Linked DNA regions of Macaca mulatta. The protein of the gene in region 1 interacts with the protein of each later gene in a pairwise test. Links are inferred from orthologs where the notes say so. Each region holds a gene or a part of one and is shown in the gene's direction. Other genes may lie near its edges.

What was found.
Region 2: the proteins of ATXN1 (region 1) and DMPK interact in binary tests that used the Homo sapiens proteins (3 or more experiments, as listed by UniProt). The link is inferred for Macaca mulatta from reciprocal best matches to the Homo sapiens genes ATXN1 and DMPK.
Region 3: the proteins of ATXN1 (region 1) and SAR1A interact in binary tests that used the Homo sapiens proteins (3 or more experiments, as listed by UniProt). The link is inferred for Macaca mulatta from reciprocal best matches to the Homo sapiens genes ATXN1 and SAR1A.

Annotation. Positions count from the first base shown.
Region 1 is NC_133409.1:166,776,899-166,780,595, forward strand, and holds the end of ATXN1 (ataxin-1), read left to right. Parts: intron 1-730; coding exon 731-1,261; 3' UTR 1,262-2,913; downstream 2,914-3,697. UniProt on the Homo sapiens protein: Chromatin-binding factor that repress Notch signaling in the absence of Notch intracellular domain by acting as a CBF1 corepressor. Binds to the HEY promoter and might assist, along with NCOR2, RBPJ-mediated repression. Binds RNA in vitro.
Region 2 is NC_133424.1:58,320,740-58,324,566, reverse strand, and holds the end of DMPK (myotonin-protein kinase), read left to right. Parts: intron 1-683; coding exon 684-841; intron 842-935; coding exon 936-1,033; intron 1,034-1,204; coding exon 1,205-1,251; intron 1,252-1,540; coding exon 1,541-1,630; intron 1,631-1,957; coding exon 1,958-2,110; coding exon of another isoform or gene 2,111-2,117; 3' UTR 2,118-2,834; downstream 2,835-3,827. Other genes in the region: homeobox protein SIX5, read left to right, coding at 3,693-3,827. UniProt on the Homo sapiens protein: Non-receptor serine/threonine protein kinase which is necessary for the maintenance of skeletal muscle structure and function.
Region 3 is NC_133414.1:79,473,167-79,477,824, forward strand, and holds part of SAR1A (small COPII coat GTPase SAR1A), read left to right. Parts: intron 1-31; coding exon 32-97; intron 98-3,456; coding exon 3,457-3,560; intron 3,561-4,658. UniProt on the Homo sapiens protein: Small GTPase that cycles between an active GTP-bound and an inactive GDP-bound state and mainly functions in vesicle-mediated endoplasmic reticulum (ER) to Golgi transport.

The DNA of each region.
Region 1 (3,697 bases):
TCTCGTGTCTCAGCCTCCCAAGTAGCTGGGATTACAGGTGCCTGCCACCACACCTGGCGAATTTTTTTTATTTTTAGTGGAGACAGGGTTTCGCCATGTTGGCCAGGCTGGTCTTGAACTCCTGACCTCAAGTGATCCACCCACCTTGGCCTCCCAAAGTGCTGGGATTACAGGCATGAGCCACTGTGCCCTGCCACCAAGCATCCTTTCAGGGGCTGGGGACTCAATGATAAACACATCATGCCTGCCTCTTGGAACTCACCTACAGTCTCACTCTGATCCCTGTTTAGTCGTGTCCTGTATGATAATAACAGCTGTCCATTGAGCTCATAAAATCTAAGACCATGCTGGGCTTCTGAGCCACCCGCAGAGCCTAGCTCGGTGCTGAAAGCTAAGTGGGTGTTCTGTCATTGCTGGGGTTTGATTGACTGGTTCTAACAGAGACCAGCTATAGAGCTAACACTTGGTGGAATATTTTGAATATTGATGGTCTTTTCACTGGCTTCTGTCTATGGTAAGTACAGGTACAACCCAAACTGAAGAGCCTCATTTATAGGGTGTGACTGGGGGAGAGGGAGGTTTGCAAACTGAGTCATTTTTCCCCCATTCGGCCTGTGTGTGTCTATGTGTGTATGTGTGAGTTCATACGTGTGTGTGCGCATAAAATCAAACAAGAATAAAATGTTTTCATTTGTCCCCTTCCTCTCTCTGTCTCTCCCTGTTTCCACAGGTCAGCGTTGAAGTTTTGGTAGAGTATCCTTTTTTTGTGTTTGGACAGGGCTGGTCATCCTGCTGTCCGGAGAGAACCAGCCAGCTCTTTGATTTGCCGTGTTCCAAACTCTCAGTTGGGGATGTGTGCATCTCGCTTACCCTCAAGAACCTGAAGAACGGCTCTGTTAAAAAGGGCCAGCCCGTGGATCCCGCCAGCGTCCTGCTGAAGCACTCAAAGGCCGACGGCCTGGCGGGCAGCAGACACAGGTATGCCGAGCAGGAAAACGGAATCAACCAGGGGAGTGCCCAGATGCTCTCTGAGAATGGCGAACTGAAGTTTCCAGAGAAAATGGGATTGCCTGCAGCGCCCTTCCTCACCAAAATAGAACCCAGCAAGCCCGCGGCCACGAGGAAGAGGAGGTGGTCGGCGCCGGAGAGCCGCAAACTGGAGAAGTCAGAAGACGAACCACCTTTGACTCTTCCTAAGCCTTCTCTAATTCCTCAGGAGGTTAAGATTTGCATTGAAGGCCGGTCTAATGTAGGCAAGTAGAGGCAGCGTGGGGGAAAGGAAACGTGGCTCTCCCTTATCATTTGTATCCAGATTACTGTACTGTAGGCTAAATAACACAGTATTTACATGTTATCCTCTTATTTTAGGTTTCTGTTCTAACCTTGTCATTAGAGTTACAGCAGGTGTGTCGCAGGAGACTGGTGCATATGCTTTTTCCACGAGTGTCTGTCAGTGAGCGGGCGGGAGGAAGGGCACAGCAGGAGCGGTCAGGGCTCCACGCATCCCCGGGGAAGAAAGGAACCGGGCTCCACAGCGCCTGCTTTCTGTAGCGGCCCAGAAGCAGCCAGGGGCGCTGACTCCCGCTAGTGTCAGGAGAAAAGTCCCGTGGGAAGGGTCCTGCAGGGGTGCAGGGGTGCATGCATGTGGGGGTGCACAGGCGCTGTGGCGGCGAGTGAGGGTCTCTTTTTCTCTGCCTCCCTCTGCCTCACTCTCTTGCTATCGGCATGGGACGGGGTGTTCAGAGCAGTGTCCTCCTGGGGTTCCCATGTGCAAAATCAACATCAGGAACCCAGCTTCAGGGCATCGCGGAGGCGCGTCAGACGGCAGATTTGGAAAGTTAACCATTTAAAAGAACATTTTTCTCTCCAACCTGTTTTACAATAAAAGCAACTTTTAATTGTATAGATATATATTTCCCCCTATGGGGCCTGACTGCACTGATATATTTTTTTTTTTTAAAGAGCAACTGCCACATGCGGGATTTCATTTCTGCTTTTTACTAGTGCAGCGATGTCACCGGGGTGTTGTGGTGGACAGGGAAGCCCCTGCTGTCATGGCCCCACATGGGGTAAGGGGGGTTGGGGGTGGGGGCAGGGGAGAGAGCGAACACCCACGCTGGTTTCTGTGCAGTGTTAGGTAAACCAATCAGGTTATTGCATTGACTTCACTCCCAAGAGGTAGATGCAAACTGCCCTTCAGTGAGAGCCACAGAAGCTCTTCACGTTGAGTTTGCAAAATCTTTTTGTCTTTGAACTCTAGTACTGTTTATAGTTCATGACTATGGACAACTCGGGTGCCACTTTTTTTTTTTTTTCAGATTCCAGTGTGACATGAGGAATTAGATTTTGAAGATGAGCATATATTACTATCTTTAAGCATTTAAAAATACTGTTCACACTTTATTACCAAGCATCTTGGTCTCTCATTCAACAAGTACTGTATCTCACTTTAAACTCTTTGGGGAAAAACAAAAAACAAAAAAACAAAAAAAACTAAGTTGCTTTCTTTTTTTCAACACTGTAACTACATTTCAGCTCTGCAGAATTGCTGAAGAGCAAGATATTGAAAGTTTCAATGTGGTTTAAAGGGATGAATGTGAATTATGAACTAGTATGTGACAATAAATGACCACCAAGTACTACCTGACGGGAGGCACTTTTCACTTTGATGTCTGAGAATCAGTTCAAGGCATATGCAGAGTTGGCAGAGAAACTGAGAGAAAAGGGATGGAGAAGAGAATACTCATTTTTGTCCAGTGTTTTTCTTTTTAAGATGAACTTTTAAAGAACCTTGCGATTTGCACATATTGAGTTTATAATTTGTGTGATATTCCTGCAGTTTTTATCCAATAACATTGTGGGAAAGGTTTGGGGGACTGAACGAGCATAAATAAATGTAGCAAAATTTCTTTCTAACCTGCCTAAACTCTAGGCCATTTTATAAGGTTATGTTCCTTTGAAAATTCATTTTGGTCTTTTTACCACATCTGTCACAAAAAGCCAGGTCTTAGCAGGCTCTTAGAAACTCTGAGAATTTTCTTCAGATTCATTGAGAGAGTTTTCCATAAAGACATTTATATATGTGAGCAAGATTTTGTTTTAAACAATTATTTTATTATTGTTGTTATTAATGTTATTTTCAGAATGACTTTTTTTTTTCTATTCAAAATCAAATCAAGATTTAATGTTTGGTACAAACCCAGAAAGGGTATTTCATAGTTTTTAAACCTTTCATTCCCAGAGATCTGAAATATCATTTGTGGGTTTTGAATGCATCTTTAAAGTGCTTTAAAAAAACAGTTTTATAAGTAGGGAGAAATTTTTAAATATTCTTACTTGGATGGCTGCAACTAACCTAAACAAATACCTGATTTTTCTTTTACCCCATTGAAAATAGTACTTCCTTCATTTCACAAATTAAAAAAAAAAAAATCTGGTATCAACCCACATTTTGGCTGTCTAGTATTCATTTACATTTAAGGCTCACCAGGACTAATGATTTTTGTAAACCATTTTCTGGGGTGTACCAAAAACATTTGAATAGGTTTAGAATAGCTAGAATAGTTTCTTGACTTTCCTCGAATTTCATTACCCTCTCAGCATGCTTGCAGAGAGCTGGGTGGGTTCATTCTTGCAGTCATACTGCTTATTTAGTGCTGTATTTTTTAAACGTTTCTGTTCAGAGAACTTGCTTAAT
Region 2 (3,827 bases), on another chromosome or scaffold:
AGGGGCAAGCAGGAGAGAAAAGGTGAGGGCTTCCCGGGTGGCGTGTGCTGTAGAGCCCTCTGGGGACTTCCTGAACAGAAGCAGACAGAAACCACGGACAGACCAGGTTACTTCAGACATGACACGGTCTCTGTAGTTACAGTGGGGCATTAAGTAAGGCTGTGTGCGTTGGTGGGGATCTGAGGAGTTGAACTTTGAGCTGAACGCTCCTGAAGGAGAAGCCAGCCATGGAAAGAAAGGTGCCAGGTGGTCAGGCGAGAGCCTCAAGGGCAAAGGCCTTGAGCAGGTGGGAATCCTGATATCCTGATTTGTTCCTGTTTGGCTGAACCGTTCCTGAGAATGCTGGAGAGGCCAGCAGGCAACAAAACCCAGCAAGGCCTTTTGTCGTGAGGGCATTAGGGAGCTGGAGGGATTTTGAGCAGCAGAGGGACATAGGTTGTGTTCGTGTTTGAGGACCAGCTCTCTGGTCCCTGTGTGGATTTCGAGGACCAGACTCAGAGAAGGGGCTGAGGGAGGTAGGGAAGGGAGGGGGCTTGGATCATTGCAGGAGCTGTGGGGATTCCAGAAATTTTGAGGGGACGGAGAAGTAGGAGACAAGCAAGGATCCCTAGCCTGGAACCAGTGCCCAAGTTCTGAGTCCTCCAGGAGCCACAGGCAGCCTTAAGCCCGGTCCCCATACACAGGCTGAAGTGGCAGTTCCAGCGGCTATCCCTGCGGCAGAGGCTGAGGCCGAGGTGACGCTGCGGGAGCTCCAGGAGGCCCTGGAGGAGGAGGTGCTCACCCGGCAGAGCCTGAGCCGGGAGATGGAGGCCATCCGCATGGCCAACCAGAACTTTGCCAGGTCGGCGTTGGGGCCGGGGCGCAGGGCCCATGGCAACCCTTGGCAGCCCCTCTCGTCCGACTCGGACGGACTCACTGTCCTTACCTCCCCACAGTCAACTACGCGAGGCAGAGGCTCGGAACCGGGACCTAGAGGCGCACGTACGGCAGTTGCAGGAGCGGATGGAGTTGCTGCGGGCAGAGGGAGCCACAGGCGAGTCCCTCATGTGTCCCCTTCCCCGAAGGGCCGGGAGGAGGTGGGCCGTCTGCTCTGCGGGGCACGTATAGACACCTGGAGGAGGGAAGGGACCCATGCTGGGGCACGCCGCGCCACCGCCCTCCTTCGCCCCTCCACGCGCCCTATGCCTCTTTCTTCTCCTTCCAGCTGTCACGGGGGTCCCCAGTCCCCGGGCCACGGATCCACCTTCCCATGTAAGACCCCTCTCTTTCCCCTGCCTCAGACCTGCTGCCCACTCTACAGATCCCCTCCCTGGCTCCTGGTCTCCCCGTCCAGATACAGGGCTCACCCTACGTCTTTGCAACTTTGGAGGACAGATGCCCTTCGTTCAGCCCCAGATCTCCCTCCGTTCAAGGCTCACCAGATTCCCTCCGGGATCTCCCTAGATAACCTCCCCGGCCTCGATTCCCCTCGCTCTCTCTCGCCCCACTGCTGAGGGCTGGGCTGGGCTCCGATCGGGTCACCTGTCCCTTCTCTCTCCAGCTAGATGGCCCCCCGGCCGTGGCTCTGGGCCAGTGCCCGCTGGTGGGGCCAGGCCCCATGCACCGCCGCCACCTGCTGCTCCCTGCCAGGGTACGTCCGGCTGCCCACGCCCCCCTCCGCCGCCGCGCCCCTCGCTCCACCCGCCCTGTGCCACCCGCTTAGCTGCGCATTTGCAGGGCTGGGCCCACGGCGGGAGGGCGGATCCGCGGGGAGCCAATCAACACAGGCCGCTAAGAAGCAGCCAATGACGAGTTCAGACGGGATTAGAGGCGTGCGAGTGGACTAACAGCTGCCGGCTGTTGGGGCGGGGGTGGGGAGCAGGGAGGCGTGCGGGCCCACCTATGGGCGTAGGCGGGGCGAGTCCCAGGAGCCAATCAGAGGCCCATGCCGGGTGTTAACCTCGCCCTCTCCCCGCAGGTCCCTAGGCCTGGCCTATCGGAGGCGCTTTCCCTGCTCCTGTTCGCCGTTGCTCTGTCTCGTGCCGCCGCCCTGGGCTGCGCTGGGTTGGTGGTCCACGCCGGCCAACTCACCGCAGTCTGGCGTCGCCCGGGAGCCGCTCGCGCTCCCTGAACCCTAGAACTGTCTTCGACTCCGGGGCCCCGTTGAAAGACTGAGCGCCCGGGGCACGGCAAAGAAGCCGCGCCCACCGCCTGCCAGTTCACACCGCTCCGAGCTTGGGTCTCCGCCCAGCTCCAGTCCTGTGATCCAGGCCCGCCCCCTAGCGGCTGGGGAGGGAGGGGCCGGGTTCGCGGCCGGCGAACGGGGCTCGAGGGGGCCTTGTAGCCGGGAATGCTGCTGCTGCTGCTGCTGGTGGGGGATCGCAGACCACTTCTTTCGGCCAGGCTGAGGCCCTGACGTGGATGGGCAAACGACAGGCCTGCGAAGGCAGCAAGCCGGGTCGTCCGTGTTCCACTTTCCACGCACCCCCACCTACCGTCGGTTCGCAAACTGCAAATCCTCCCTTGTGCATGACGCCCTGCTCTCTGGGGAGCGTCTGGCGCGACCTCTGCCCGCTTACTCGGGAAATTTGCTTTTGCCAAACCCGCTTATTCGGGGATCCCGCGCCCCCCTCCTCACGTGCGCTGCTCTCGGAGCCCGAGCCGGCTCTGACTGCTTCGGCGGTTTGGATATTTATTGACCTCGTCCTCCGACTCGCTGACAGGCTGCAGGACCCCGAACACCCCAATCCACGTTTTGGATGCACTGAGACCCCGATATTCCTCGGTATTTATTGTCTGTCCCCACCTAGGACCCCACCCCCGACCCTCGCGAATAAAAGGCCCTCCATCTGCCCAAAGTTCTGGACTCCGCAGTCCGCGGTTTGCGTAGTGGGCAGGAGGTTGCGGAGCGGGCCAATCCGAAGGCGAGTGGAGGCGGCCGAAGGTCTGGGAGGAGCTAGCGGGATGCGAAGCGGACGAATCAAGGTTGGGGGAGGGAAAGCTACGGGGCGGGGCCTTGGCGTCCGGCCAATAGGAGGGCGAATGGGCCACCCGGAGGCACCGCCCCGGCCCAGCTGTGGCCCAGCTGTGCCACTGAGCGTCGAGAAGAGGGGGGATGGGCTGGCAGCGCGCGGCCATCCTCCTTCCACTGCGCCTGCGCACGCCACGCGCATCCGCTCCGGGGACGCAAGCTCGAGAAAAGTTGCTGCAAACTTTCTAGCCCGTTCCCCGCCCCTCCTCCAGGCCAGACCCGCCCCCCCGCGGAGCCGGGAATTCCGAGGGGCGGAGCGCAGGCCGAGATGGGGAATGTGGGGGCCTGCAGAGGACCCTGGAGACGGAGGCGTGCAGAAGCTCAGTCTCGGGGCGGAGGCTTCGCGCCCTTAGCCCTCCTGGACGGCCCGTTACCTTCTGCATTGTCCCGATGGGGAAACTGAGGCCCTGAGCCAGAAGCACACGCTGGGGGGGAGGCAGAAAGCGCGGCCAGAGGCGGAGGGAAAACAAAGGGAGAATCACAGACAGACGGGAGGGGAACGGACACACACACGGGGACAGAGACCCGGGTCTCGCCTTCCCGGCGTGGGGCGCAGTCGGCCAGGGAGAAGATCGAGAACAGCGGGGAGTGGGGGCGAAAAGGGGGAACAGGCGGGGGAGGGGGCTGGGGAAAGCCCAAGGGAGGAAGAGAAGGAGGGAGGAACTTCCCAAAGTTGCAAAACATGGCTACCTTGCCTGCGGAGCCGAGCGCGGGGCCGGCGGCCGGGGGGGAGGCGGTGGCGGCGGCGGCGGCGGCGACCGAAGAGGAGGAGGAGGAAGCGCGCCAGCTCTTGCAGACTTTGCAGGCGGCCGAGGGT
Region 3 (4,658 bases), on another chromosome or scaffold:
GTTTATTTCTTCTTTTTAAACAATTTTTCAGCATCAGAAGAGCTAACAATTGCTGGAATGACCTTTACAACTTTTGATCTTGGTGGGCATGAGCAAGGTAAGCGATGACTCAGTGGAAAGCATGTTTATTGACTTATGATTCTTTTTGTGCCCCCCAGCACCCTTTAAAAGCAATGTGTCGTTTTTACCTTTTAAATTACACTTTAGAATTAGGATCTTACTACTTTAGTGAAGTTGTTTTATTCATTTTTTTTAAACTCATTTCAAACTTGTCTAAAGTTGCGTTAAATACACAGAAGTCCACTTCAATATTACCCTATTGAGCTAGTATAAAGTTAGCTATAATGCATAACTATTCATGAACTTTTAAGTATTTGCCTGATAAAGCCAAACTCAACTCAAATCTTGACTGAAAATTTTTACAAAGCAGGACAGCATCTTGCCATTTTAATCTTTACTAGGTTTTTACTTATTAACGCAATTTACCTGGTAACTAGAAAATACGTTAAAAGATATAGGTATTGCCTCAACAAGAGTAATTATTTCATCATTTTAACTAGGCTTGCTCTAAGCCAGTGTATTTTCTTCTATACCTTTTGCCCAAATTTGTTAGTCTCCTCCTCCCTACATAATACATATTAATACTTACTTTTTATTAACTGTTTGTGAGCATATCATGCCCCTTTACTCTTTTATACTTTAGTGCCGTTTTCTAAGAACAAAGATATCTCCTTGTATATAATCATAATAGTTATCAAATCAAGAAAGTTTTATTTTTATCCAATCTGTATTTCCTTTTTTTTTCTTTTTTTTGGTCAGTTGTCCTGATAATCTCTTTTATACCATTTTTTCATCTTGACCAGGTATACAGTATCATATATTTAGTTATCAAGCATTTTTGCATCCTTTATTCAATGGAGTGAAAGTATGTAGGAAATTTAACTTAAATATTTGTAAGTAATTTCAGACTTGTCAAAAGTTGCAAAAGTAGTACAGTGACTATGTGTGATTACTCTAAGTTGATATTTTGTATATTCTATCCATTTGGGACAGTTGGTAGAACATTTCCTTCTACCTTTTTGCTTTCCTTAGAAGTGCTTTTTGCCTACTCAGGCTATGTCTTTGGCTACCAGATTCCTATCAGGTGTTTAGAGACATACAGGATGGGCGTCTTTGTCTAATGGGCACTCAGTTCACATTTGACAAGACAGTAGGTATAGGAGTAAAACATTTAAGATGTGAGAATAAACATTCTGGGAAGGTAGGGAAAAGGAACTATTGAGATTCTGTCAGATTTACTTACTTGTTACTACATTGAGTGGAGAAATCTCATTTTGAAACATTAGGTTGAGCTAATACCATTTTTTTTTCTTTTTTTTGAGATGGGGTCTTGCTCTGTTGCCCAGACTGGAGTGCAGTGGCATAGTCTTGGCATACTGCAACCTCTACTTCCTGGGCTTAAGCAATCCTCCCACCTATTTTTTGTAGAGACTGGGTTTCTGCCATGTTGCCCAGGCTGGTCTTGAACTCCTGAGCTCAAGCAATCCACCTGCCTTGGCCTCCCAAAGTGCTGGGATTATGGGCGTGAGCCATTGTGCCCAGCCTAATACAGTTTTTTGTTTTTTTTTTTTTTTTTTTGAGACAGAGTCTCACTGTGTCTCCCAGGCTGGAGTGCAGTGGCGTGATCTCGGCTCACTGCAAGCTCCGCCTCCTGGGTTCACGCCATTCTCCCGCCTCAGCCTCCCAAGTAGCTGAGACTACAGGCGCCCGCCACCACGCCCGGCTAGTTTTTTGTATTTTAGTAGAGACGGGGTTTCACCATGTTAGCCAGGATAGTCTCGATCTCCTGACCTCGTGATCCACCCGCCTCGGCCTCCCAAAGTGCTGGGATTACAGGCTTGAGCCACCGCGCCCGGCCCTAATACAGTTTTAAAACAATGTGTAGTAAAATACAACATTGGTCATTTCTAGTAGTTAAGCCTAATAATTTTATAGTCAGTTATTTCATTAACATATAATTACATTTTAATTAATTTATTTAATATTTATGCCCTAAAAAATCATGTATATTATGATCATAATCACATAAAATACCAGTAAAGAAAAAAGACTGGAAGAAAATACCAAAATATTGACAAGGGGTGTGTTTTGATGGAGGGATTAGAAATGATTTTGTTTCCTTTTTTATGTAAGGAGCTTGTATTTTTTTTCATTTGGGTAAGAATGGGTATATGGTGTCCTTTCTGCTTTTCCACAAAAGGATTTGTAACTGCTTACAAATTTAAATTCAGAGCAAGATACGACTGAACCTAGACCATCTGGAGAATGCAGAAGGAACAGACACCAGATGGTTTTATATACCTGAACTGGGAATTGTTGATTGTTTGGTGTGATAAATTTAGGTTTCAGGTTTTGTTAAAATAAGAAGGGAAATGTATTGATGTATTTAGTTTTGTTTCTTTGACTGAGGAAAATCTACTAAACAGAAACACTTTTACCTAATAACCTAGCCACCATTTTATAGAAGTTACTAAAATACTGTACATCTGGAGGTTCCTTTTTTTTTTTGTATAACTTAAAAATTTTAACTTATAAAAGGAGAGCAGATTTGATATAACAAAATCGGTATAGAACTACAGAAAGTAAAATGGAAAGTTCCTTCAACCTCTTTTTCCTAACTCTACTCTTTAAAGGTAACCATTAATAACTGATGTAGAGATGCTTCGTTATTCATTCTATTGCAAGGGCTAGAAATGAATGGCTTAGAAATGATAGTAAAATTAAATCACTGCTTCCCAGCCTTTATCGTTTCATGTCACAAGCAAAAAACAAGTAATATTTCTAAGGCATGCTGGGTTAAATATGGTAGGCTGAGATAACTGGCCTGGGGCCTTGAACCACTTGTCAGGCCCAGTCTCCCTAAGGGCTAAGCAGAGGAGTGTGTCAAGACACCTACACACAAGTTGGCTAGAAACTAACTGGGACTAAAGTTACATGGACAAGTAATTTGTATCCTGATGTTTTAACTCAGAGGTTGCAAATTCAACTTGGCTCCAGGGGCAAGGCAAGTCATTTAAGTGAGTAAAATTGGCTGACTGTAAGACAGCAGGGACATTTTGTCAAGCAAAAGTGTTCAGACATCATCTGAAGGGGTAGCCACTGCTTAGTTCCTGCTGATAGTTGTCATGTGGATAAGTAGGCATGGGGTTGCCAGATGTTGCAGTTTTTCAAGAAAGGTGGAAACTCTGATTTTCAAATTTACAAAAATCAAGTTCAACTCGTGGACCATTAGTTTGCATCCTCTGTTCTAAATTAATACTGGCCAGAACTTGGAGAAATCCATAGAGTCTAATCTTACTGAAACCTGACCAAGATTTGTCCATTTTAAGACCATTAGGTTATTCATTTTTACAATGTATATTTTTTACTGATGCAACTACAAACTTTGTTTTTTAGCACGTCGGGTTTGGAAAAATTATCTCCCAGCAATTAATGGGATTGTCTTTCTGGTGGACTGTGCAGATCATTCTCGCCTCGTGGAATCCAAAGTTGAGCTTAATGTATGTTTATATACTTTGTCCTTTTTTGGCCTCTATTTTTTTTTTTTTAAGAAATATAGCTCAGTAGTGCCAATAATTAGTAATTCCAGTTAACATTTGGCAAAAAGACCTAGTTGCAGGAGGAAAATGTTTTAAATCTAAGACATTGCTTTTCAATGTCCTGAGGAAACTCAGCTCAAACTTGAATAAATTAACTGTTTTTTCTATCATACAGTGACTATATGGCCAAGTTTGCTCAGGATACTCCTCATTTATGCCTGTTGTCCCAGCATAATTAATTAATTAATAGTATTCCATTTCACGTGTCATCATGAACAGTAATTTTTTTTTTTTTTTTTTGAGACAGAGTGTCTCTCTGTTGCCTGGCCTGGAGTGCAGTGGCGCAGTCTCAGCTCACTATAACCTCCACCTCCTGGGTTTGAGGGATTCTCCTGCCTCAGCCTACTGAGTGGCCTCCTGGGACTACAGGCACGTGCCACCACGCCTGGCTAATTTTTTGTATTTTTAGTAGCGACGGGGTTTCACCGTGTTAGCCAGGATGGTCTTGATTTCCTGACGTCATGATCCACCCTCCTTGGCCTCCCAAAGTGCTGGGATTACAGGCATGAGCCACCACGCCTGGCCCACGAACAGTAATTCTTTATAAGTAGTGTTGGCACAGTGAAAGCCTAAAAGCAATATTAGAGTTCTTTACATTTTTGAATCTGCATTCTCAGCTTGTGCCTACCCACCCTCCCACTGAATGACTTGCCAGACCTTCATGGTCTGTTCTCAGCCTTCAGTTTTGGTTGCATACATCCTTTGATACTATCAAGGACTTACTTCAAGTTTTCTCCTTTGTCCACATTGCATTTTCTCTTGGCTTGATGGTTTCTATACTATTGGCTTTATTATCCCTACTCCTTTACCCTATATCTTTTCTTTCTCTTTGATCTGTAACTCCTTGGATTCTTGTTCCTGGCAATTTGAACCTGTCTTGAATTTATTTCTAAGTATGTTTCTCACATCTATAGCTCCAGCCTCATGTAGAATTGCCTGCCACGCAATCTTTACCTTGCCTTTTTTTTTTTTTAAAATAAAAAAAAACAGTCTTCCTCT